Linked DNA regions of Oryza sativa Japonica Group. The protein of the gene in region 1 binds, or shares a complex with, the protein of each later gene. Links are inferred from orthologs where the notes say so. Each region holds a gene or a part of one and is shown in the gene's direction. Other genes may lie near its edges.

The links.
Region 2: large ribosomal subunit protein uL1c (region 1) and 50S ribosomal protein L24, chloroplastic share a complex: the UniProt entries of both Arabidopsis thaliana proteins name them as parts of the 50S ribosomal subunit. The link is inferred for Oryza sativa Japonica Group from reciprocal best matches to the Arabidopsis thaliana genes EMB3126 and RPL24.
Region 3: large ribosomal subunit protein uL1c (region 1) and large ribosomal subunit protein uL5c share a complex: the UniProt entries of both Arabidopsis thaliana proteins name them as parts of the 50S ribosomal subunit. The link is inferred for Oryza sativa Japonica Group from reciprocal best matches to the Arabidopsis thaliana genes EMB3126 and AT4G01310.
Region 4: large ribosomal subunit protein uL1c (region 1) and large ribosomal subunit protein bL28c share a complex: the UniProt entries of both Arabidopsis thaliana proteins name them as parts of the 50S ribosomal subunit. The link is inferred for Oryza sativa Japonica Group from reciprocal best matches to the Arabidopsis thaliana genes EMB3126 and PRPL28.
Region 5: large ribosomal subunit protein uL1c (region 1) and large ribosomal subunit protein cL37 share a complex: the UniProt entries of both Arabidopsis thaliana proteins name them as parts of the 50S ribosomal subunit. The link is inferred for Oryza sativa Japonica Group from reciprocal best matches to the Arabidopsis thaliana genes EMB3126 and PSRP5.
Region 6: large ribosomal subunit protein uL1c (region 1) and large ribosomal subunit protein bL34c share a complex: the UniProt entries of both Arabidopsis thaliana proteins name them as parts of the 50S ribosomal subunit. The link is inferred for Oryza sativa Japonica Group from reciprocal best matches to the Arabidopsis thaliana genes EMB3126 and AT1G29070.
Region 7: large ribosomal subunit protein uL1c (region 1) and uncharacterized protein share a complex: the UniProt entries of both Arabidopsis thaliana proteins name them as parts of the 50S ribosomal subunit. The link is inferred for Oryza sativa Japonica Group from reciprocal best matches to the Arabidopsis thaliana genes EMB3126 and emb2184.

Annotation. Positions count from the first base shown.
Region 1 is NC_089039.1:18,889,852-18,893,777, forward strand, and holds the start of large ribosomal subunit protein uL1c, read left to right. Parts: upstream 1-1,126; 5' UTR 1,127-1,305; coding exon 1,306-1,674; intron 1,675-1,780; coding exon 1,781-1,960; intron 1,961-2,070; coding exon 2,071-2,125; intron 2,126-2,391; coding exon 2,392-2,519; intron 2,520-2,980; coding exon 2,981-3,064; intron 3,065-3,926. UniProt on the Arabidopsis thaliana protein: This protein binds directly to 23S ribosomal RNA.
Region 2 is NC_089040.1:29,338,661-29,342,471, reverse strand, and holds 50S ribosomal protein L24, chloroplastic, read left to right. Parts: upstream 1-1,139; 5' UTR 1,140-1,219; coding exon 1,220-1,342; intron 1,343-2,451; coding exon 2,452-2,490; intron 2,491-2,565; coding exon 2,566-2,793; intron 2,794-2,906; coding exon 2,907-3,089; 3' UTR 3,090-3,311; downstream 3,312-3,811. UniProt on the Arabidopsis thaliana protein: One of two assembly initiator proteins, it binds directly to the 5'-end of the 23S rRNA, where it nucleates assembly of the 50S subunit. Required for optimal plastid performance in terms of photosynthesis and growth.
Region 3 is NC_089037.1:1,440,999-1,444,451, reverse strand, and holds large ribosomal subunit protein uL5c, read left to right. Parts: upstream 1-1,268; 5' UTR 1,269-1,336; coding exon 1,337-1,639; intron 1,640-1,772; coding exon 1,773-1,973; intron 1,974-2,364; coding exon 2,365-2,700; 3' UTR 2,701-2,953; downstream 2,954-3,453. Other genes in the region: probable polygalacturonase, read right to left, coding at 3,031-3,453. UniProt on the Arabidopsis thaliana protein: Binds 5S rRNA, forms part of the central protuberance of the 50S subunit.
Region 4 is NC_089039.1:104,682-108,872, reverse strand, and holds large ribosomal subunit protein bL28c, read left to right. Parts: upstream 1-1,391; 5' UTR 1,392-1,434; coding exon 1,435-1,615; intron 1,616-3,230; coding exon 3,231-3,463; 3' UTR 3,464-3,780; downstream 3,781-4,191.
Region 5 is NC_089035.1:9,871,258-9,874,296, forward strand, and holds large ribosomal subunit protein cL37, read left to right. Parts: upstream 1-1,211; 5' UTR 1,212-1,257; coding exon 1,258-1,366; intron 1,367-2,066; coding exon 2,067-2,389; 3' UTR 2,390-2,539; downstream 2,540-3,039.
Region 6 is NC_089035.1:34,740,188-34,743,954, reverse strand, and holds large ribosomal subunit protein bL34c, read left to right. Parts: upstream 1-1,452; 5' UTR 1,453-1,476; coding exon 1,477-1,720; intron 1,721-2,833; exon of another isoform or gene 2,834-2,834; coding exon 2,835-3,094; 3' UTR 3,095-3,267; downstream 3,268-3,767. Other genes in the region: uncharacterized protein, read right to left, coding at 1-1,219. UniProt on the Arabidopsis thaliana protein: This protein binds directly to 23S ribosomal RNA.
Region 7 is NC_089035.1:25,929,496-25,932,154, reverse strand, and holds uncharacterized protein, read left to right. Parts: upstream 1-1,298; 5' UTR 1,299-1,382; coding exon 1,383-1,472; intron 1,473-1,580; coding exon 1,581-1,898; 3' UTR 1,899-2,159; downstream 2,160-2,659. UniProt on the Arabidopsis thaliana protein: Binds the 23S rRNA.

The DNA of each region.
Region 1 (3,926 bases):
AAAAAAAGAACTACTACATAACACTATACTGTTACAACAGAATACCTTATGGTGCTAACATCAGCACAGGATCGTAGGTATCATATTTGTATGTGCACTGGATCTGGTACTACCAGACACGATATCCATTAATACCACATTATCAGACTCTCGTATTGGTTCCTATTTCCTTCGTCCCATAAAAAATCAATTTCTAGGAATGAATCCGGACAACATTCTTAGGACATTCACAGTGCGCTACATATTTTTGCCGTTCCTCATATGCCACGTAGACGAAGAACCTGTTAAGCTTCATCCTCTACAATGCAAGTACTAGTAGTGGGTCCCACCGGTACAGTTTTTTCAATTTTCATCTCTCAATCTCTCTCTCTCCTCTGTTTCTTTTCTCATCCGAAATCTTTCATCCCCCAATCTCTCACTCTATTTCTTTTCTCACCAGGGCATCCGAGGCGCTGGGGCTGAGCGGCGGCGGCTGTCAGGGCAGCCCGAGCTGCGACGGTGCCGGACGGCGAGCTCCCATCCTCATCATTGGATACGGTGGCGGTCGCAGCCTCTTCGTCGATGGCGCCTTCCTCTCTCTCTCTCCCCGTGGCTGTGGCGACAATGCGCTCGCTGTCGACGCTGCGCGAAGCCACTCGTGTGAGGCTCCGCCCTCCACAACACGACAACTCACCTTTCTCCCTGCTTTCTTCGTTTGAAGAACGAGTATCCATGTTTGGGTACGAGAACCTTATTTGGCTCCGCGTACTGTCAATGCGGCGCCGAATATTCAGTTCTTGGCTATGGGGCTGAACGTCACATCCTTCTACTGTGAACACTCTTAGAAGTTGTATCTTTTGGGATAGAGAGTGTAGGTACTCTGATGGTACGGCCAGACATTTCTGATACTCTCGCAACTAACAGATTATGGGTAATGGTTCGTAGTATTTTTAAAAAGTAAATAGCACTACATTATCGGTGGTTCTTTTGGACCGTACCCAGTAACGGCGAAATCGTGAGCTTTTGGGCCCAATCCGACGCCCGCGGCGCCGCAGCGCACCACCCTCCCCCAACCGTCTCCCCCGCGCGCGCGGGCACACACGGCTCGGCTAATCCAAAATAGCCCAAATCGCACGAGTCCTCCCCCGTCCCCCGCGACGCGCGAGCGAGAGAGAGCCCTATCCGCTGCGCGCTTCGCCCGCTCGCCTCGCCCTCGCCTCACCGGCTATTATAACACTCTCGCGCTGCCACTTCGCCTTTTCCTCCCCTTTCTATCCTCCACCTCGGCTTATCTCCTCCCCCCTCCCCACCACCACCACCACCACCATGGCCACAGCCGCTTCCCTCTCCGCCACCGCCTCCTCCCTCCTCGCCCCCGCCCCCGCCACCACCGGCGCCGCGGCGGCGCAGTGCTGCTCCTCCTCGTCCACCGCGCTGTTCCCCACCCCCGTCCCGTCGCTGCGCGCCTACTACCCGCGCCTGCTCCTCGCGTTCCGCCGCCCCGCCGTCGCCGCCGTCGCAGACCCGCAGGGCGCCGTGCTCGAGGAGGAGCAGGGGGAGCAGCAGGACGAGGGGCAGGAGCAGTACGACGACGACGACTACGACGACGGGTACGAGGGCGGACGCGGCCCCGCGTTCACGCCCCCCACCCGCCCGCGCACCGGCAAGGCCGCCCTTCCGCTCAAGCGCGACCGCGTATGCCCCCCCCGAATCCAGCCTCCCCCCCGCGTGTTCATCCATTCGTGTTGATTTTTGGATTGACGCTGACGCCGCGTTCGCCTTTTTTTTGATGGGTTTGCAGACGAGGTCGAAGCGATTCCTGGAGATACAGAAGCTGAGGGAGAGCAAGAAGGAGCACGACGTGCCCACGGCCATCTCGCTGGTGAAGCAGATGGCCAGCGCCCGATTCGTCGAGTCCGCTGAGGCGCACTTCCGCATGAACCTCGACCCCAAGTACAACGACCAGCAGCTCCGCGCCACGGTTATTGCTCTTTCTCTCTGCTGTTGCCATTGTTACGTACGTTCTGTTCTGGCTTGTGTTTTATCAATCGTTTTTGATGATATTGGATCGGTTTTGGTGATGATGTGCAGGTTAATTTGCCCAAGGGGACGGGCCAGTCGGTGAAGATTGCGGTCCTCACACAAGGTGGGTTGCAATTACATTTTGGAGATTGTTATCGCAGCACCAATTCCAATTGCAATCTTTGGTGCATGGATTGATTAGGTCACTGCTAGTTGTGTCTTTTAGGTGTGGTTTGCCTGCTTGATCATGTGGTTATTTACGGTTCATTAAATTGGAAGCACGCTGTTATATAGTGAATTGAAATGGAAGTATGTGAATGCGCGCTAGTCACTAAAGTGGTGCACTAATCACTAGCACTATGTAATGGCTATTGTCAAATATCCTTGCAGGTGAGAAGATAGATCAAGCAAGAGCTGCAGGAGCTGATATTGTCGGTGGAGATGACCTGATTGACCAAATAAAAGGAGGATTTATGGAATTTGACAAGCTGATTGCATCACCTGATATGATGCCTAAGGTATGGCATTAGCTGCATAACTCATGTCTAAAACAATTCCAAGCATTATGAAGACTTGTCTTTTTGCATGTCTCCGACATAGTTTATCCCACATCCAAATGAACACGTTATGTTTCAGTGTTATTAGGAACCACAAAACCAGGCAACATTTAGTTGTATTGATCAGATATTGTTTTCTTATCATTACCTGCCATATCTGATCCATCCCTTCATATTACAAGTGTCTAGCATTTACGATTATGATTTGAGCCATAATGGAGATATGCAAATTTGGTTCACTCAGAGAAAATAGATTCGATAAGCAAATAAGGTTCTACTGTTTTGAATTGGTACATTCTTCGGAAGTTTGGATGCAGTTCTGCAATAAGTGTTGAGCTCCATGCAAGACCTGCATGGAAGTTTTAAAGGTGTGCTACTAGCTCGGCATATTATGTTGTTGATTTTGGTCTTTTGCTTCACAGGTCGCCGGATTGGGAAAGATTCTAGGACCGAGAGGACTTATGCCTAACCCCAAAGCTGGGACTGTTTCTCCAAACATAACTCAGGTACAATGGAAATTCTACAGATTACTATATGTATTGACACTGTTGCTTGTGGTTTTCTCTCCCATTTGCTTGGTTATTGTGACCCTGAGTGAAAGGTGGGTAACTGTCCATTTACCTTCTTTGATCCTTGGTGAACTTCTGTTTTATCCTCGTTCAATGCAATAGGCAGAACTCCTGCCCTTTTGTTCAAAGAAGTTGTCCATTTACGTCATCTCAGTACTTACCTCATAGATGCACTTCTGGGAGAAAACCTACTGATATATTGCTACCTTGTTTAGTAGTCTTCATTGTGTGTGCAATATATTTCAGTGGTTCGATTTTCAGACATGTTGATAGACATTTTTTTAACCTTGTTATTCGTAGATAGAAGGTTTGAAATTTTGTTTGTGCCAACTGAATTTGAGGATATGCATGGATGCATAGCTCCATCGTTCGTTTGTTGGCTTATCAACGGCAGCCAAAATCTGGATTTTGAAACTTAATTTAGAATTGATTTTGAGGGGTTTTTTTTATTGTGCTTTATTCTCCAGTGCTGGCTTTTGAATCGCTAAGAACATAGATATAGACGTTTTACTCAAAAGTTATTTTTGGTTGCTTCGTCATTTTTCCACGGCTTATCAGCCATAGAGCAAATGATCGTGTAATGACTGATGATGATGGTAATCTGCTACTTAGCCTGCATAGTGCCTCCGTAACAGTTATGTAAAGCATCACAACAAATCTGCAAAATAGAGAAAACAGGTAAAGTAGGCTACTTGACTGTTAGGAACAACCATCATTTATAACGGTTAACTGAAGGACAGGAGTGGGAGCATTTGTGAAAAATCTAGCCCTTTAGGTAATGAACTGGGCTATATTGTGC
Region 2 (3,811 bases), on another chromosome or scaffold:
ACCCTATCAAATGAAACGCGAGATTGCAACCCCCCAAAGAGAAGAAAACGGCAGCGGAAATGGCGACGTCCCGATCCCCCACGCGGCGTGATGGGGAAGAACTCCTCAGGCGTACGCGCATCGGCAGCGTCGTCACCGCGAAAGCGCCCCCCAAAAGAGAGAGGAAATGGGTCCCAGAAAAGCGCAAAAGGGACGGAACTTGGGGGGTTGCTTGCCTCCGCAACTGTCGCTTGGCTTGCGCGCGTCGCCGGCGACGTCGAAGCCGCCGGAATCCGGGAGGCGCCACGCCTGGGCGCCCCCGCCGAAGCAGCATCTCGCGGCGCGTGGCGTGGTGATGATGCGTGTGGAGACGAAGCCACGCAACGCAACGAGGAAGACGACGAGCGTATGCTGGGCTGGGCCTTATCCGAAAACGGGTGTCGGCCCATATCAACCCAGGACGTTCGGCCCACGTTACTTGACCACAAACGGGATTGCGGACGACGAGCGGCCCACGACATTTGGGCCTTAACCGGATTGCTGACGTGCGTGATAGTAAGTCTATTTTGCCTCCCTCATGTTCTCTGCGAGTCAGCCTGCCACGTCAACAGGAACCACCCTACAAACCATCTAAGGGTTGATCTGCTACGGTTTTCGCTTATTCGAATCGTTTATTAGCAAATAAAAATTTATTTATGAGTAAAATGTTTATATATGTCCATAATAACTTAAAGCAAATGTTGTAAAATATAAGCATTTTAAAAAAACAAAAAAGCAAATTCAAAACTAAGTTCTCAAATTCAAATTTTGGCTCATAAATATAAGCATAACCAAACAATAAGACCGATTTTCCTCCATTTTGCGGTTGAGGGAGGTAATTCAATCAGGAGCAGAGATGAGAAATGTACAATAGATTTTATCTGTGTAGGTGCGACCTGTTCTTGTTGGGTCGAGACGGGATTGCGGCTTACGTGAGGCCCGCTATATTTGAGCCTGAACGGGATCGCGGCTGACTTGGGCCGTAAGGTCCGTTGTAGTTGGGCTGGATTACGATAGGCCTTTCATTAGGCCTTTATGAGTCTTACAAGTGGGCCAATCCATTCGGCCTAGAGGCCCATTTGTCATGTAGAAAAGCGCTCGCCATTATCCTGTCCGCGAGCACACGAAGGCGTTCGTTATCCTCTGCTGCTTCTCTGCGGTTTGAGCGAGCGAGGGAGGAAGAGGAGGGGAGGAGACGAAGATGGCCGGGGTGGCGGCGTTGCAGGGCGCGATGGCGTCCCTCTCCATCTCTGCGCCGGGGGCGGCGAGCACCAGCAGCTTCTGGGGCCACCCGCTCTCCACCTTCGCCGCCGCGCCGGCTGGGGTTTGTGCCGACTCCCAACCCTGATTCTCATTTTTCGCATTCCTTTATGTTTGCTCTGCTCTTATGATTCGCTGGAAAAGTAGAAATGCCAGCTTGCACTGAGATTTAGGATTTTAGAGCTCACCAACAGCGTGGCATTGCAATGGTGATGTCTACATCGCCTCACTGTACTGTTGTTGCCTTCAGGAGTTCAGGCTCAGGACCTCAACTAGCCAACAACCAACGTTGTGTCAAAATTTTGTGGTATATTTTTTTTAGAGAAAAGGTCTCAAGGATTTTGTGGTATAGTTGAACCTAGTTGGCTAGTATAAGGAGGGTTTATATGAATTAATGAATGCTTGAAATCTCAAGTTTGAGTATATCAACTGAGTGAATTCAGAAGTTAGAAATTGTGTTGTCTACCATGGGATGTGGCCTGTTATGTTTCAGTTTAAACTTGAATATTATTTTTTTCCTATGGTGGTATAAGCGATGGATACCCAATATTCAGCCTTTCAAGCAGAGGATTATTTTTCTGAAAGATGTGCCCTCTAGTGAGACAGACCATTTCTTGTTCTAACCTGCTGTATAGATCACATTTCGCTGGCTAGAAACAATTTTGCCTTTGAACTTTAAATTACTCAACAGTAGAAATTTCACAGAAGACTTCCATGGGAAAATGATGGAAACTCATTTCACTCGGGGATAGCCTGTAGCAAATGATTGGCACACTCGGTATACTTATCAGACTGAACTTGTTCTATCTTTTGTATATTCTTTTTGGCGTTCCTTAGCTCTTCTAGATAGTCTACTGCACTTCGTCCTCAGAATGAGACTCACTCACGACTAATTACTTACCTGGAAAGTGGTGATGAGAGAAAATAAGGCCGAATAATTGCTCTTGAATGGAGTGACTGAGCTATATATGGCACTTATATGATGAACTGTACTAAAATCTGCACTTATATGAAGAAACTCGTACTAAAAGATCATATGATTATCCTAGATATTCTTGCCTAAGAAACATCGTGAGCATGATTCATGTCATATCTCAAAAGCAGCTGATTATTACATTTTATGTCATTTTCATAAGAAACTCTGACAAGATATGCATAAATTTTTATATGCAGGTTAAATTTATGATCAAGACATGCCCAATTCAAATGAGGGTAAGTTTCAATTCTTTTTTGGTCTGCAGCTTGCTATTTACTCAAATGTCTGAAATTTCCCTTTTTCCAATGCAGCTTAAGCGATGGGAGAGGAAGAAGTGTAAACCAAACAGTCTTCCTGTCCTGCACAAGATGCATGTTAGGATTGGCGATACAGTACAAGTCATTGCAGGCCGTGAGAAAGGTAAAGTTGGAGAAGTTACGCGGCTTTTTAAGCACAACAGCACTGTAATAGTGAAGGACTTGAACTTGAAGTCCAAGCACAAGAAAGGAACAGAAGATGAACCGGGTGAAATCGTCATGGTCAGCATTGTTTCTCTTGAAACTTCTTTCTGTGCTGCTTCTAGCTAGTGTCGTATATATAGTTTCAGATGCCTGATCGTTAACCTATGGTTGTTGGTGTTTTCTTTGATCAGATTGAAGGCCCCATTCACAGCTCAAATGTGATGCTCTACTCAAAGGAAAAGAATGTGGCGAGTAGGGTTGGACACAAATTCCTTGAGGATGGAACGAAGGTTCGGTACCTGGTCAAGACTGGTGAAATAATTGACAGTGCTGAGAATTGGGTCAAGGTGTTCAAGGAAGGAAGTTCGGAGTGATCATGGTAGCATGGGAGTCCTGCACATTTTCTGAACTGCACTTTTTGTATGCCCAAATGAGTTGATGCTTTTCTAGATTCAGATTTCAGAGTCTTGTAAATTTCTATACAGTTGCCAACATTTTTTTGTATCCAATGACATGCTTGGCTTGTTAACCAGCTACTAGAATGGTTCAGCTACATTCGCTCATACAAATGATTTTGTAATGTTGTTGCTGTCCCCTGTCCTGAGCTATTATTCGCAACCATTGACTAATTTGGTCCATTTCCATATAGAAATATAGATGAGATGTACATATAAAACCCATGAATGATTGATAAGTTCTTTTTTTTAAGGAGTAGTAAGATAGGAGTATCATAAAAGAAACAAGCTTAGCAATTTTTTTTTTGAAACAACCCGCAGCGATGTTTCTATTGATATAGTAGGAAAAAAATACAAATATATAGTGCTAAAAGATAGCGATGTTTCTATTGATATAGTAGGAAAAAAAATACAAATATATAGTGCTAAAAGATTATAGTCAGAAAAAGGAAAAAACAAATCTGATTTGCCATTGATAACATGAAAGCTCAAGAGCTCGTGCTGACGGCTGAGAATCAACATAGCAGATATGGCACGCAAATATCAAATCCAGGTGATCGTAAGCAAACCACAGTTTTCTGCTTGCGTTTTGCTCCGCGAGGGAAACCTGACACCTGTCCAGATCCCATGAGACGAAGATG
Region 3 (3,453 bases), on another chromosome or scaffold:
TTTTTTTCTTTTTATTTGCTGTCATCTCTTATTAGTTTTTGCTTCAGTGGCAATTGTAGCCTTGTAATATGCTTTTCTGTCCTGTTAATAGAAGAATAATTTAGATAGATATTTGGAAGCTCATTTGGACGGTGGAGCACACAGGTATTAGAAATGATGTGCTGGGGCTGAATGGCTGATGCTTTTGCTAGTACTGCTGGTAATGATATATATTAATCAGTACCATTCTGAATTTATTAGTCTGGTTGAGTCGTGCTGCTGACAGTGAGGTGTTCACTGATAAAATGTGTACTTTCTTTTATATTCTTTATTTGCCGACATTCTGTATCTCTTGTTCACGAGATGTGCCGGATGTAAATATGAAAGTGATGCATGGCTGATTACTTTTTGACCGTGAAGAAGAATTAATGAAGCTTATGCACACTAGGCGGTTCCTCCATACTGCTGAATGGCTGTTCATTAAGGCCCTGACAAGTGACAAGGTCACAGACTGACAGTTACTTCTTGAGGTCAAGGAGGTTAATGTAGTTTATCAGGATTAGGTTGCAAACTGACAAGGAAGATATTGTCCGTTGTGTTTCTACTCTTGGTGTCAAGTCGATCCTCACAGGATCACGGTCGTGGCATTGCTGGTCCTTGGTAGAACAAGGTAGGGCAAGCGCAATGTTGTGATCTGGGACCTTTCAAATCAGATCCTAGTGATTGTCCCCTGGTTATAAAGAACTGCATGTTACGGTTACTGCATGATTAGTTAGGCATAAGCATGTGACGAGGATCCTCGTCGTGATATTCCGTCCATTTTTCAATGTTGATCAAGCGTGGCAGATCTCCTGCTGATCTGCCAGCAACTGTTGCTAGGTTCAGAGTTTGCTTGATCTTGTTTAAGCTCTTCATCGGCGTTTTTTATGTTTGAAGTCATCGTTTAATGGCATACTACTACTATACTAGTGATGTCCTGTAGTGCATTAGAAAATACAGAATGGGCCACATACTCAAACACTGTTACCGGTTGACCAAAACAAGGCATATATCGAAATTCACACACTGCAGACTTGCAGTTGTTGACTCATGTAACTTTACCCTTCTCTTAGGCCGTGTTTAGTTCACCCCCAACTCAACGGTTTTGATGGGCCTAAGGCCCAAATCAACGGTTTTGATGGGCCTAAGGCCTGAAACCATGTCGAACAGTTCGATGGGCCGAACCATGACGAGAAAGCCCACCTGCGACACTGGACAGCAACGGCAGCCAGCCACAGCCAACTCGCCTTATCCCGTAATCCATCCATGGCATAAAGCTCCCTCCTCAGCTCCCACCTCCGTCTCCGCGCACGCTCCAATGGCGGCCACGGCTGTGACCCTGCCGTCCTCGCCGGCCCCCTTCCCCGTCACCACCACCGCCTCCTCCTCCCGTAACGTCCGCCTCCTCCTCCGCTCCCCGCCTCCTCGCCGAGCCCTCCGCGTCGCCGCCTCCGCCGCGGCCGACGCGCCACCCAAGCCGGCGCCGCCGCCGACCTCGCCTTCGGGCATCGTCCTCGTCGACCCCACCGAGGCACAGAAGGTGCACCGCCTCAAGGCTGTATACGACCAGAAGGTGGTCCCCCTCATCACCGAGGAGTTCGGCTACACCAATGTCCACCAGGTGTTCGACCTCTGTCTCCCTTCTCGCAATTATAGGATAGACATGGCCATTTCTTTGCGGAACTCGGGAAATTCGATTGTTGTTCAATAATTGAGCTTAGAGGAGTGTGTTTTGGATTCTCGATTTTATTCAGGTGCCCAAGGTTGAGAAGATTGTAGTGAATTGCGGGTTGGGGGCTGAAGCCGGTAACTCCAAGGGGCTCGAATCCGCCATGAAGGACCTCGCCATGATCACCGGCCAGTGGCCCGTCAAGACGAAGGCCAAGAAGTCCGTCGCCAGTTTCAAGATCCGCGAGGGGAACACCATTGGTATTGCCGTTACGCTCCGCGGCAGGGTGAGTCCTCTGTACCTCTGGCTACTTGCGATGCAGACATTGACAAATTGGGGACTGCAATGTTGTATCAATTTGGGATTTGCATGACAGTATAATAGCCTAAAGTATGTGTGAGAATTGCAATTACTCCATCCAGTTCCAAATTATTGTCACCGTTGGCCGTCAGTATTTTACATTGACCACAAATTTTAAATGGTTGGACGAACGAAAGTTTAATACCTATCTATGTGGAGTAACAACCTTTAATAATATGGCATATTTTTAGGTATATGCATTTTATTTTCTAAAAAATATAAGTGATCAAAGTTCAAATATGAATAGTATCCAGTGACAAGTATTTGGGAACCTAGGGAATATGTTTGATCGATGAGCTTATTTTGGCTTGCTGCAGGTAATGTTCAACTTCCTGGATAGGCTCATCAACCTTGGGCTTCCTAGGACCATGGACTTCCTTGGTGTCAACCCCAACAGCTTTGATGGCCATGGCAACTTCACCATAGGCCTTCGTGATCAGGGCGTGTTCCCGGAGATCCCGTACGAGGTCGGTGGGAAGAAGAATGGAATGGACGTCTGCATCGTCACCACCGCGAAGACCGACAACGAGGCTCTCAGGCTGCTCACCCTCCTTGGCATGCCGTTCGCGGAGCACATCAAGTCCTCCGTGGTGATCCGGAAGAAGAGGTTGAAGCGCCACCACTTCATGAGCAAGGGCAGGGGAAGACGGTGATTGCAAACCGCTGCCTAGGCACGTTGAGCTTTGCTTCTCACTTTGTCAATTGTCATTGTTTTTGCAAAGTTTCGTTTAGAAGTTTGATGATTTTGTTATCTTGTCACGTGCTGTATTTACTGTCAGAAGACAAAATGAAAAGGCTTTGCTTTGGTCAGGTCATTCGCAGATGAGCACTCATAAATGAATTGGGTGTAAAGAGATTATCCGGCAGCATTTTCAAACTGCTTAACTTTACTCACTAAACCACATCATATATATCTCTTTGGTCCCAAGCATCTCATAGCCCAGGCCATTACCCACACCATACTATCATCCTATATCAGTATTTCAGTAGCTACACGTTGGCAATTCAGGCGGACCGATGACGAGCTCTTCTTCAGGGAAGGCGCATGGCTTGCCCGCCGCCCCGAGCTCCGGGCACGGCACCGGCGAGACGTCGGAGGCGACACCCTTGACATCGGTGCAGTTCCATTGCAGCTTCTTGGCGTCCGGCGCGAGCTGCGCGGTGACGTTGGACATGCAGATGCCAGTGTAGGGGTCGTTGGGAATCCCCTCCATCCTGCCGGCCATGGTGACGTTCTCCGCGAACACGTCGCTGTAGTTGATGCCGGTGACCTCCGGCAGAGCGTTGGGGTCGGAGGAGTTGTCCGGGTGCTGGCCGTAGTTGCCGGTCATCCAGAACACCCACTTCATGGTGTGGAGGCTGAGGCCGCGGACGAACACGTCCTTGACGTAGCCGCCGCGCCCCAC
Region 4 (4,191 bases), about 19 Mb from region 1:
TCAGTTCTCTGTTCTCACACGCCGACGAGTTCATTCGTCCACCACGAAAGGAGCTCCTCTGACTTAAAGTTAGAAGGATATGAGTCCTTGACAGGTGCGGCCCACCTTTATAGGCCCACATGTTAGAGATGCATGTCCCTTTGACTTAAGTTAGAGGAGCCTTGTCGGTCCACCACACACCAACACTGGTAGGACAGACAACAATCCTCCACACCGCCTGCGAGAGGGTCCTCTTCCTGTCTTCCTGGCCATCAAGGAGGAGAGAATCAACTCCACATCTTCTCGGGTGACCTCTTTGATAGCTCCTTCGGCGAGGGATGGGTGGGCGGAAGTCAAGGAGGCTGTTCTTGAAGACGGAAAAGAGAAGTAGGGGCCGGCTCGACCTCGACCCGGTGTTGCGATGTCGTCGCGAGCATGCCGGTCTGTCTCCTCCGAGAGCTCCACTGTCTCCACTTCAAAAGCCATCAACGAGGAGGAGCCCAAGAGCGATGTGGAGGAGTATGAGGAAGAGGAGGAGGTGGACCAGTGGGTAGAAGTGTGCTATCTGGAATGGAGGTTGATGCGAAGGGGATCTGGAAGTGGGAGCCAGACTTTTGCTACTGTCCCCATCTTGGATGCTCGCGAGAATGTGTGGGAGTTGGTGGTGTGCGACACGACATTGTCCCTCTAGTTCACTTGCTTCTTCCCCAACACCTCCATCAACAACGTCACCCTCCGCATGCGTACTCATCTTCATCACTACCGCTTGAGCTCAAGTTTTGCCGCCACCACCGCAGCACCCCCTTCCCATCCCCGCGGCTCCTCACACTCCTGACACGACTGGGCTTTCCTGCAGATAGCTCATGAGCTCGAACTCGCCGGCTCCCTCACCTACCTCCTCTTCTCCCCCGTCGTGGACCACTGGAGCCACCTCATCACTGACCTCCCACCACCATTACCACCTCCCGTGGATGGGCTCGCTGGCCGCCGCCCCTCTCCCCACTGGAGGAGATGGGAAAGAGAGGGGGGAGGTGGAGAGATGGGGAAGAGAGGGGACAGGTTGGGAGGAAGTCCACTTTAAATTTTAATTTTCTGATTGGTATGCCACGTTAGTGAAACCAGTCATCCATAATACCATGAGACTGACTTGGAAGGTTTTTCCAAAATGGGGGGGAGGGGGTGAAGATTGCTGGTATTGCGGTTTAGAGATACCATTAAACTCGACGTAAAATAAGGGATAATAAGTGGACTTATCACTGTGAGTAATACTAGTAGTAATGAGAGTTGGGCTTGGGCCGCCCTTTTCTACAGTACTACGATATATGGGCCCCTGCTCACACAGTACATAGAGAGACGATTATGATAGGATAGGAGAAACAAGTTGTACGCCACGCCGCAGCCGCACAAGACTTGATCCTCTTCTTCTTCTTCTTCTTCCTCCAGGCTCCAGTGGCGATGGCGACCATGCTCTGCTCCTTCACGCCCGCCACCAGGGCTCCGCTCCTTCGCACTTCCTCCTCCTCTTCCTCTCTCGGCTTCGCCACCTCGCAACTCGCCGGCCTCAGCCTCGGCCTCTCCGCCGCAGCCACCACCGCGCCCTCCGCCGCCGGTCCCAAGCTCCACCCCATCCTCGCGCGTACGTCATCTGCCTCCTCCTTCTTCTCTCTGTTTCGAGCCATCCACCCGCAGATTGACATTACAGTTTTATATTACACCACCAATGTCATTTCTGCTACTATTAAAGTTGTTACTTTATCCTTCGTTTTTTTTTTGCGCTATCCAATACTCCACTGTATATATACTACTACTAGAACCAGATGACCTATTTGTTAGTAATTGATTGCTTTAATCTCTCGAAAATAGACTAGCTGTCAATCTATTACCATAAACTCAGATCTTTCTTTGTATTTTTAAGAGAATGGAAGCTTTATTGAATTTGGTCGTTCTTTGCACCATGTCAGTGCACAACCAATAGATACCACACAACAAGAAAAACAGAACTAACTCAACGATTAAGGACCTAATATCGGAAGACTAGGTTGCCGCTCATGTGCCTGGGTAAAAAAAAAAAACCTTGACCACATGCTCCAAATGAAGACAAGCCGAACAGACAAAACCCCTGTAATCTGGCTTCTTGAGAATAATCCATGATCGGAGCCAATGTGTGATCAAGAAAATAACCTGCAAAGAAGAAGAAACAATTTTCCTGTCAAAAATCACATCATTCCTTTATAGCCAAATAGCCCAACAAGTCAACTCCTAGTAGAAAAGGAGGCCTAGACTCTTTGTTTTGTCGCAAACTCCATTGTCCAGACATATGTGACACACTCCTAGGTGAAGAAATGTTCGATGCAATCTGGATTAAAGACCAAACTGATCGGGCTAGCCGACATTCAAAAAATAAATGCTTTATCGTTTCTTCCTTGTGGTAAAAACAATAGGTCTTATTCCCTTTTCAATTCCGTTTAGCCAGGTTATCTTTTGTTAACACCACCCCTCGACATAAATACGATAGAAACATTTTCACTTTGAGAGGGATTTTTAACTTCTAGATATGTTTGTTAAAATTGGGAACTCTTGTATGTGCAAGATAATGAGTTTTAACCAAGAATCTTCCATCAGGTGTTAGATTCAATTTAAAGTCATCTTTCTCGTGTGACAACACTATATTAGCAATGCGTGGAAAGAGATGATTCCACGCCACTAACTTAAGGCCAATAATATCCTTGCGCCAAGTGAAATTTAACAGGGTTGTTTAGAATATATTTGAAATGGTTGCTTGTTTATGTCTGACAACCATCTCTTTGTTTCTCTAAGACATAAGCAGAGCTTCTTCTTCTTACTAGTGTATATAAGAAAGAAGGGGGAAAAGAAAAAATATAACTATTCTGGCCATTTCAAGTTATAGTTTTAGTTTTATTCTAAGTCAACCATTCATAACTTTAACTATCAATTTCTTATTTAAAAAGATAATTGTGACTTATCAATTTCTAGAAATTTGTAAAGTTTAACAACATGTTAATTGTACTATATATTATGAAGGTACTTTTCATGATGCATATATAAACACATAAATATTATGATATTAAATGTTTGGCTTATGATAAAGTTAAGGACAAGTAATTTAAAAGGGTGAGATTATACTTTATCTTTTGTTTGCATGATGCCACAAATTATAGAAACTAGTAGTAGTAGGAACAAGATGGCGTGTATGGTGATGTTGTTGTATGATGTGGGGGTGGGTGACTCAGGCCGGATATGCCCCTTCACGGACAAGAAGACCAACAGGGCGAACAAGGTGTCCTTCTCAAACCACAAGACGAAGAAGCAGCAGTTTGTGAACCTGCAGTACAAGAAGCTGTGGTGGGAGGAAGGCAAGCGCTTCGTCAAGCTGCGTCTCTCCACCAAAGCCCTCAAGACCATCGAGAAGCATGGCCTCGACGCCGTCGCCAAAAAGGCCGGCATCGACCTCAACAAGAAATAAATCAAATCATCATCATCATGATGCATACATACATGTATTCTCTCATCAATTGCCGCTGTGCTGAATAGACCAGAGCTGTATGTAGTCCATTATTAAATCCATTCATCTCGATGATGCAATTTATTGTAGAGTACTACAGTATGCATTCATCGGTGGTGGTGGCCGGCTTCGTTTCCTTAAATTTCCTTTTATCCCGTGTTGCTGCTGCAAGTCCGGCTCGAATTGTTTGCTACTAGTGTTTCATTTCGGTCGAGTTCCTAATTAATACTGTATGTTGGTTACGAATTATAAGATGGATGGATGTAACTTGAGCAGCATCAGGTCGTGCAGTTGGCATCTTGCGCTTTTCACTTTAGAGTGTCTTCCAGTCTAAGCTGAAATTGATTAATTATTTTATTTCCTTTTTGGCTATTGATATTTAATAAGAGCCTAAATGAAAGAATTAACTTGTACAAAATTGAAAAGCTGTTTGTTTTGTACAAAAGGAACTCCTACGCCAATATTGATTGTTCTACTGCTATGGCCTGTCTGGTTTGAGATAGCTGAAATTGATGGATTGTTTTATTCCCCTTTTTAGCTATTGATATTTAATAAGAGCCTAAATGAATAATGAACCCCTACAAAATTAGAAGGTTGTTTTTTTTCTCTCTAAAAATGTAGAGACGAGAAAAAGGTGTTGAGTTGTAGACGTGGAGCAACCCGGCAGCTCCACACACGCGCAACCTCTG
Region 5 (3,039 bases), on another chromosome or scaffold:
CCATTGGCCAGATTTGGTGGCCTACTGTAGAGTTCTGTTTTTCTTCCAGAAAGTCGCTTAGACCAGAGGGGCCAACTTCCTTAAGCCTTCTCCCTTGCAACCAAGCAAAGTCCCAGAATTTCGCTTTTGTACCATCTCCAACTGTCGTCGTCGTTCCCACAAAGAGGAGTTTGCCAATGTTGTCGCAAGGCGTCTCCGACCCCACTCAAAGCTTTCTTAGATAAACAATGTAGCAATCAGTGGCGCTTGGCGAGCCCATGGTTCAATTTTTCGTTTTCAGTATTTGTATTGGGGTGCTGATATACCGAAATTTGGTCCAGAATTATTTGAATTTTCGAACAAAATTTGGTCAAATTTGAATAAATATTACTAAATTCACACAAAAGAATAAAAAAAACTTTGGTCGAACCGGAAATTTGAACCCTGCGAGCCAGCCTGCGAGACTTGTCGTAGATTCTGTAAATCTTCTCTGACACTGATACAACGATGGCTCGTGCATCATCCTCATCCTCCTCTCCGGCAGCATTGATGTCCATGTCGAAGCTACGCTCGGCTGGAGGATCTCTGCACGCTCCATAATCTTGATGGGTGTCCGCGAGCTGAAGGAGCAGAAGCTTCCATCCCCAATGGCGCACGAGAGCTGACGACCCGGATCAACCATTGGCAGCAGCTCCTGTACAGACACCTCCTCGTCCTCGATGCTGAAACTGCTCTACGCCGGCGACGGCGACGGCGACGGCGACGACGAGGAGGAGACATTCTTGATGCGGTACACGGCGGCGCCGGCGCGTGCTTCGGCTTGGAGTGGGAGACGAAGAGGTTGTCGCTAGCTGCTCTTCTCATCACCGATGGGCACCCGCTTGGCCGTCGAACGGGAGGTTCTTGTCGTCGGCGAGCTCCCCCACCTCTTGCTATCCACGTCGAACGCAGGATGTGGCGGCCGGCGGCGGCGTAGGACGCGACGGCGAGCGCGGCCGGGCGGAGGGGACGCCGCCGATGCGGATTGTCGCCGCCACCCGCGGCGGCGGCGGAGGCGGCGAGAGGAGAAAAAGAAAATCAAAATCAAAATTTCTCTCCACCTATGACATGTGGGCCAACTGCCAAGCAGCCTTACTTGACGGAGATTAAATCTGGCCGTTGATTCTCCATCGGACGGCGGAGCGCTCACAGCAGCACAGGCTTATCTCCTCCCTCCGGGCTGATGGGTGGATAGGCTGACGACGGGCCAAGAAGCCGAATCCCACACTGCCCGTGGCCATGGCGCTGCTCCTCTCCCCGACCGTCTCCTTCCTCGCCTCCTCCTCCGCCTCCCCGCCTCGCGCCAGAGCTCTCCCCGCCTCCGCCAATGTCGCCTCCACCATCCCCGGTAACCTCCGTGAACGCCTTCTCCGTACCGGGACTTTTGCGCATAAGTTACTCGGGTTGTGGGGTGTTGGTTCTTGGATTGGATTATGCTGAGTGGGTACGAGGCTATCCATTGTTGTGAGGTGTGATTTGTAATTCGGTGGGAGGATTGGTCTAGATATTTGACGTTGGTGATTCGTGGCGTTTCTGATTCTCTGGGATGCGGTTGGCTCGTTAGGGAATTTCTTCAAACACGTCGTGTGCAGATGCAGTAATTCGTGGGAGATTCCGTGCATTTATCATCTCTGTACAAAGCTAGGTATAATTCATCTCAGTGAACTCTGCAGATTCTCGAAGCTTTGGTTCTTTCGTGCTTAAATGATAATATCAGATGCTATGTAAGCACCGGTCACTGGCAAAGGGTGACATTCGTAGTACACCCTACATTTGGGGCCTGATTGTTAATAGATGAGTAGATTTTACATATCTGTGCTCTGCTAAGATTCATCATAATATGTAATTGAGAACACTAGGATTGTTACTAGTTATTGTACTATATACTATCCATGAAGTGGCACACATGAGCTAGACTTATTAGCTTTCAAGTTTCTTATATGACGGAGATTCTATCAAAATTTTGAAAGTAGCATGCATGTACTCTGAATTCTATATCTAAAATGATGCACATTGAGGCTTGCCATTTGTCCTTTCTGATGCTACAGCCCCAAGGCTCCAGTGCAAGAATCTCTCCTCGCAGAGCCCTCTGAATGCTTCTTTCACCAAGAAGAGGCTAGTTTCTGTCCATGCCTCGGCAGAGGCTGGCGCAGAAGAAGCTGGCACAGATCAACCAGAGGAGCCAAAACCCACGGTTTCGATTGAGACAATGCCGCTCGAAACTAAGCAGAAGATGATCATGGAGCAGAGGGCGAAGATGAAGCTGGCCAAGAAGCTGAGGCAGCGGCGCAGGAGGCTTGTCCAGAAGAGGCGGCTGAGGAAGAAAGGTAGATGGCCACCATCCAAGATGAAGAAGCTCAAGAACGTCTAACCAGCAGTGATGTCGGTCGCTGTTCTTCTGTACACCTCTATGTTCTGTTCATCCGTCTCTGTATTTCCTAAGCTGATGCCCAGCGAATTTTGCTGTTCAAAATATGAAACACAATGTTTGCAAAATGTGATTATTTCTTTCCCGATGAAATTTCATCTTGTATTTTTTAGATAATGGATAAACCGGTCACCGTTAAAAACACACAAAGCCCAGTACTGAACAAATTTTCTTCTAACATGTCCCTCCTTTTTCTCCTTTAGGCTTTAGCTGTCCTACAGAAGTACCACTAAATCTAATGTGTGTTCCCATAGTGGAAATATCATATGCACCTTGATGCCTTCTGTGTTTGTCAAAAACTCAAAATCATAGCAAATTTCAAGAAGCCTTGCTGTGCTGCACTCTATATTTGTGAGGTATTTGCCTGTATATACACTTCCATGATGTGTTTTGTTAGGGCCTCTCACAACTCTTTCGTCTGACCTGATGTTGATTAAAGCACAAAGGATCAACCTGGACAAGGAAATAACTGGAGCAAATTCGGGTTTGTTTGTTGTTTGCCACTTTGTCAGGCACGATGTGAACAATCTGAAGAGTGCCATTTTCGATTTTTTTTCTGATGCCCTTCCTGTTGATGTGGTTGTAAAATTTAT
Region 6 (3,767 bases), on another chromosome or scaffold:
CCTCAAACGCATCTAGGTAATGCACACTGCTGTACTTTGCCTTCAGCGCATCCAACAAGACCACGTTGATGCCCTCTCCCGCAACATACACCTGCCTTCCTCCTCCATTGAGTCTCTCCTCAATCCTTCTTCTGAGGTTCCCATCATTGCCACCAACATGAACAGAGTCAAAATCTACTTGCATCCTTGATATGATACCATCAACAATGTCCATCAAGCTTGGCGCCGTGCGTATTGCTCCCTGCGGTGGACGGAGGACATGCTCAGCTTCGCCCTCGCACACATTGTACCAATAATTCCCTGGCTCCACGTCCCCAAATTTCCTAACGATCAGGGGATCCCTCGACTTGGAGAACTTGGTGGGCGCAACCCTGCTGTCCTCGATGATGCGGACTCCAAGCTGACCCTGTGCTCCCCACTTGTCCCAATCCTCCCAGAACCGCTTGTGTTCAACGATCCCGACCACGGATTGCAGGTGCTCAATGTCAATATAGAAGGCGAGGCGCTTGCCCTCCTCGGGCATGCCCCCGGCGTAGGCGGCGGCGAGACAGACGCTGAGATCGAGGACGAGGGTGCGGTTGAGGTAGCGGGCCTCGGCGATGGAGCAGAGGAGACTACGAAGATAATGCGGCATGGGCTTGCACCGGTCGCCGCCGCCAAGGTAAGAGAGGTACTTGCCCGCGGCGAACTGGGAGCGCGAGAGCGCGGGTGGGGGCGGCGGGGCGGTGGCGTTGGTCCCGCCGCGGCGGGGCTTGCGGGCGAGGGGGCCGGAGTGGTATTCCCCGATGGAGGTAACGGAGTAGGCGCAGGTGACGGGGTCGCGGGCGACGGAGAAGCGGCGGTAGTCCTTGTAGTTGGCGGAGGCGGTGGATCGGGCGCGCCAGGCCATGTCGCAGGAGGACGACGGCGGGTCGCCGGGGACGGGGCGGCCGAAGCGGTTGAAGTGGACGTCGGGGAAGGCGTCGATGGCGCGGCGCATCATGAGGTGGAAGAGCTGCGGGTCGGCGCAGTCGAGCGTGGAGGTGGTGTCGCAGCTGGCCTGATCCTGCTGCTCCAGGTGGGACGTGGTGGGCGTCAAGGCGGCGGTGGGAGGGGAGAGGGAGATGGGGAGGTTGCGGAGGGTGAGGAAGAGGAAGGCGACGAGCAAGAGGGCGGCGGCGGCGTGGGCGGAGGAGGTGATGAGGGCGCCCCGCCCCAGCAACGGCCGGCTCGGGTCCATCCGGCGACGGCGACGGCCGACGGCGATGAGATCTGGTGGCTGATTGTGTAATAAAGCCCCGTCTGCAGGCGGCGGACGGTGGTGAACTTGTTTCTAGGAAGACGACGAACTGTTCCTCTTAATGGGCCTAACATGAGTGGGCCTAAGACGAAGGCCCATGATTTGGCCCAAGAATCGCATCTCGTCGTGGATAAGACGATAAAGCAACATTGTGTGGGGATAGCCATAGCCCTGCACCGCACCTCGACTCCCCAAACATGGCGCTCGCCCTCGTCTCGCCAATGGCGGCTCTCTCACTCCACTCCGGGAGGATCTCAGCGGCGGCTATCGGCGGCGGCCTCCGCTCTCGCAGGGCATCCCCGATGGGCGCCGCCGCCACCCCGTTCCTCCGGAGCTCCTTCGTCTCCTCCTCCTCCACGTCATCCGCCTCCGCCTCCCCCGCCGCGCTCTCTGCCGCGGTCTCGGCGTCGCTGACCTTCACCTCTGCCTCCTCATTTGCTGGTGAGAATGTGTACTTTACTCGTTCCTGATTCGCTTCGTTCTGTTGCTACCATTTGGGTTGGGGAACTAGATGGAGGAGAGAGTTGCCTGCAAAGAGAAAGGGAGGAATGAACTTTTGTGCTGCTGGTTTCGGCTTTAAGTACTGTACAATGGAGTGTTTATACTGTCAGATAGGTAGCGTGTACAGTTAATCAGTGCTTAATGTCAGAAGATAACTAAACTAAACTAGCGATTTTAATGCAATTGATATATTTGAAAGTTCTGATGGTATTCTGGCAATTTCCTGAGAAATCTTAAATTCAAACTCTGCCGTACTTGTTAGCTGCTGTACGCAGCTTGTTATAATCTGCAATGTCTGATCCTAAAGCCCACGCATTCTTATAGTTAACCATGTGCTAGAGAATTTTGCTTAAGATGTGGATTCCGATTAAGATTAAAAAAAATCACTTGTTTACACATCCAGTTTTTTAGTGTAAGAACGTGTATATATATTCATAATTCAGTGATTAGTTCTAGATGGTTCCATGTTAGGAAACCTACACGGCTGAAAGTTTCTTTTCTTCCTCCATGTACTGTGATACTGATATTGTGATTTCCAGTAGTGCCAGATGGACTGTAGATTGTAGTACATTCTTGCGACAGAATCATGAAAACATCACAAAAACTCAGGAAACTCCACTTTTTGGAGCGAGCGCATGAGCTTAATTTAGTAAACTCATTATGAAATATATCATCTAACATAATTATACTACGAACTAACGAAATCACTGAATCAAGAACGTTTAACTGGACAACTCAACTTTTTAAACAGTTCAGTTACAATTAATAGCCTTGCCACCTAAAGCAAAACCAAAATGCTCCTAAAACAAGCCAATAACGTTAGATTAAAGGAACTATTGCAATGATATTATCCTTTTGGAAAATGAACTGTACTTTACATACTAGAGTTTTTTTCCAAATGATCTTAGAGAACAAAAACACAAACTAAGGGCAATCAAATAGCCGGTTTCTGTGCTGTACTGTTGTATTTAGCAAATCCATGTTCTTATGTATCAAACCATATTTGTTCCAACCTACAAATGATTTCAGTATCCTAATATGTTACATATTTCAGGTTCATCTTTGGGAATTGAATTCAGCTACAACAGAGTTACAACAGGAAGATCCCGGATTCTGCAGATTAGGGCTGGAAAGGCTGCTCTGTGCATGACCAAGAGAAATAGATCTAGGAAGTCGCTTGCCCGTACACATGGTTTTCGCAGACGGATGAGGACTACTGCCGGAAGAAAGGTCCTGAAGCGCAGACGCGCCAAAGGAAGAAGGGTTCTCTGCACAAAGACGAACTCCCCCACTGGGAAGAAACGAATGTTCTGATTGAATCGCATTCTAAGTCGCTCTTTGTCACAATTGTAAGTGTATTTTTTTATCCCACGTTCTCGGTTATACTCAACCATAACAATTGGTGCAAATCCTTCACCCGGTGTCCGGTTAATGTGTGAAGTACATTATCAACACAAATTCAAGTTAGCCTTTTTGCTTGTGCAGTATTTAGTAGTTGTTTGCTGTGGGAATATGTTCTCCTTGATCTGCATTGCCATGGTTTTCCTCTGATCTATCTTGACTGCATTCTGAGCATAGATTTTGCCAAAGGGCCTAAATGCTAACTTGAGCAGTTGCTCAAATAAACTCATCAATTTTTCTATTCTGTAGTAGAACGTCCCTTTTATTTTCTGATACAGTCCAGTGAATTTTAATATTCAGATCATCTCATCATAGTCACTCCATGCTCCACTGTGTAACACAATTTATCCACCTCCTCTGTGCCAATCTCTTTGGTACACACTTATTTGTAAAACAACCTGATTGCCCATCCAATCCTCTGTCACCTTATAATTTTGCTACTATCAGGCGAAAAAATGGATAATATCCAGAACTCAACCTGGAATAAATGAAAGGCAACAAGTAGCAAAGAGAACATTTACATTCTAACAAACTGAATCCCTCCTCTTCTTCACTCGCATCGGCAAGCCGCCTTCCATCCTCAAGG
Region 7 (2,659 bases), on another chromosome or scaffold:
CGGCAAGGAAGATGACGGTTCTAGACGCCGCTCCCCTCCAGTGCGGGGATTAGGCTTAGCGCTCCCCTCCATCTTTCACCGGCGGCGTGGGGTCTGTGACCGCCACTCCCCTCCAACGCATGGGTTGGGCTCGGCGCTTCCCTCCACCTTCCACCAGCGATGCAGGGTTCATGACCGTCACTCCCCTCCAGCTCCACCTCCCTTCATTGGGTATTAAGCTTGCAATCGTCACCGGATTGGCAACGCCCTCATCGAAGAAGCTCTCTCCGTGCAGTCGTCGACGAGCCTGAGAACCGCCAGATTTTCGCCTGAGTTGAAGAAGAAACTGATCTGCGTTGTGCGGTGTTGAGCTAACAGAGGTATTGACAGTTGTTGTAACGGAGTGGCATAGCTCAAATTTTGCAAAATTTCAGTGGCATGAACCTGATATCGTGAATAGTAATGGCAAATTGGTAAACTTGCAATAACATGATCCAATTAACCCATATCTTTGGGGAGGCTAATGCGCACGTACGTGCTAGCAATTTAGCTGGCGCCCGCGTCAGTTGGCCCCCTCCCCTGTTCCCGCGTGCTTTTCTTTCTCACTTTTTTTTTACGATTTTGGCGCCTGGATCCGGGTGCGTTTTTCTTTTTTTTCGCCATTTCTTTCTATTTTTTTAATCTTTCGCACACCCCTTTACAAATGTAGAGTTGAAAGTTTTAAATTTTGACTTCAAAGTTTTTAAATTTGACTTGAAAGTTTTCAAATCTGAGTTGAAAGTTTTAAATTTGAGTTGAATTTTTTCAATTTGAGATGAAAAGTTGAAAGTTTTCAAAATTTGACTTTAAAAAAAATTCAAATTTCGAGTTGAAAGTTTTCAAATATGGGTTGAAAGTTTTCAGAATTTGACTTGATGTATAAATTTCTTTTCAATCTGTTACTTTAAAAAATTTTCGGAAAAAACAAATCTTATCTTGATTATCTAAAACTAATGTATTTTTTTACACGCTAAAACTAATGGACTAGTTACTACATGCGCTATGGAAAGAATCTAACCGCGCCCGTGCGGTGCCGTGCATACGCGTGGGCCAGAAGTGCGCGCCCGCGGCGCGTATGCGAGAATTAGGAATTCTGCATATTTTTACCACGTAAACGAAATAATTGCATACATTTTTTTTTCTGGGCCAGTAAGTAACCAACGTGTATCAGCCCAAACCAAACAACAATTAAGAAAGCCCAGCCAAAGCGAGGCAGGCGAGCGGCCACCCGCACGGCACCAAAGCCTCAAAAATTGAGAATCATCAACGCTTGAGAGGATAACACACACCAGAAACCGATAAGGGACACGAAACAGGGGAATCCGGAGCAAAGTGCGACGCGAGCGCGCGAGGAAGCAGCAGCCATGGCGCTCTCCCTCTCCACCTCCTTCCTCCCGACCCAAGCCGCCGCGGCGGCCACGAGGACCACCCTCCGCTCCCTCGTCCCCTCCCAGGTACGATTCCTTCGATGCCCCCACAACCGCGTAGGCGTAGCGCCGCCGAATCGGAGATTCGGAGGAGGTGATTGGAACTGGGCGGTGGTGTGACGATTTGCCGTGCAGAGGATGCGGTGCTCGATGCGGAAGAAGGGGCTGCACCCGGAGATCTACGAGGACGCGAAGGTGTACTGCAACGGGGAGCTGGTGCTGGTGACGGGGGGAACCAAGCCGGAGTACACGGTGGACGTGTGGTCGGGGAACCACCCCTACTACGTCGGCGACACGTCGGCGATGGTCGTCATGGACAGCCAGATCGAGAAGTTCCGCAAGAAGTGGGGCCACATCAAGGAGTACTGGCCCGAGGACCAGTGGAGGGAGATGCACCCCGACGGCGACCCGGAGTTCGACCCGGAGGAGGAGGGATCCGCCGGCGCCAGCTGAGCCCCCGCTTCGCCTCTCGCCTCCGCCGCCGGCCTCGCCGGTGCGGTTTCTCTTGGTTGATTTTGGGAATTGCGTAAAATGGATTAGCTCCTCTTGCTTGCGCCTCTCGTTACACGTGCATTCGCATTGCTCTCTAGGTGTTCGATCGGTGTTCTCAGTGGATACGTGTGATCATATTTGTGGTATCGAACTGTTTGTTCTCTGCCTGTACTCTTTGACATCGATATAAAATGGAGATATTGCAATTTGCACACTCTGTAATTGGACATTTCCAACTCGTTGAATCGATGCATGCTAGTGTTGGTCTGGGCTCTCGAATAGAATCGTTGCATACATCAGTTTGTCCGGTCTTCAGAATAAGCAGTAAGGGGCTGTTAGTTCACGTACTAACATTGCTAAGGTTTACCATGTTTTCTCGCTAAAGTTGAGGCCATCAAAATCCAAGCCACGCTCTAGCCAATAAAGGCTATGTTTAGTTCCCAAAAACTTTTCGCAAAAACATCACATCGAATCTTTGGACACATATACGAAGCATTAAATATAGATAAAAAAAATTAATTACACAGTTTACATGTAAATCGCGAGACGAATCTTTTGAGTCTAATTAGTCTATGATTAGCCATAAGTGCTACGGTAACCCACATGTGCTAATGACGGCTTGATTAGGCTCAAAAGATTCGTCTCGTGGTTTCCAGTAACCCACATGTGCTAATGATGGCTTAATTAGGCTCAAAAGATTCGTCTCGTGGTTTCTAGGCGAG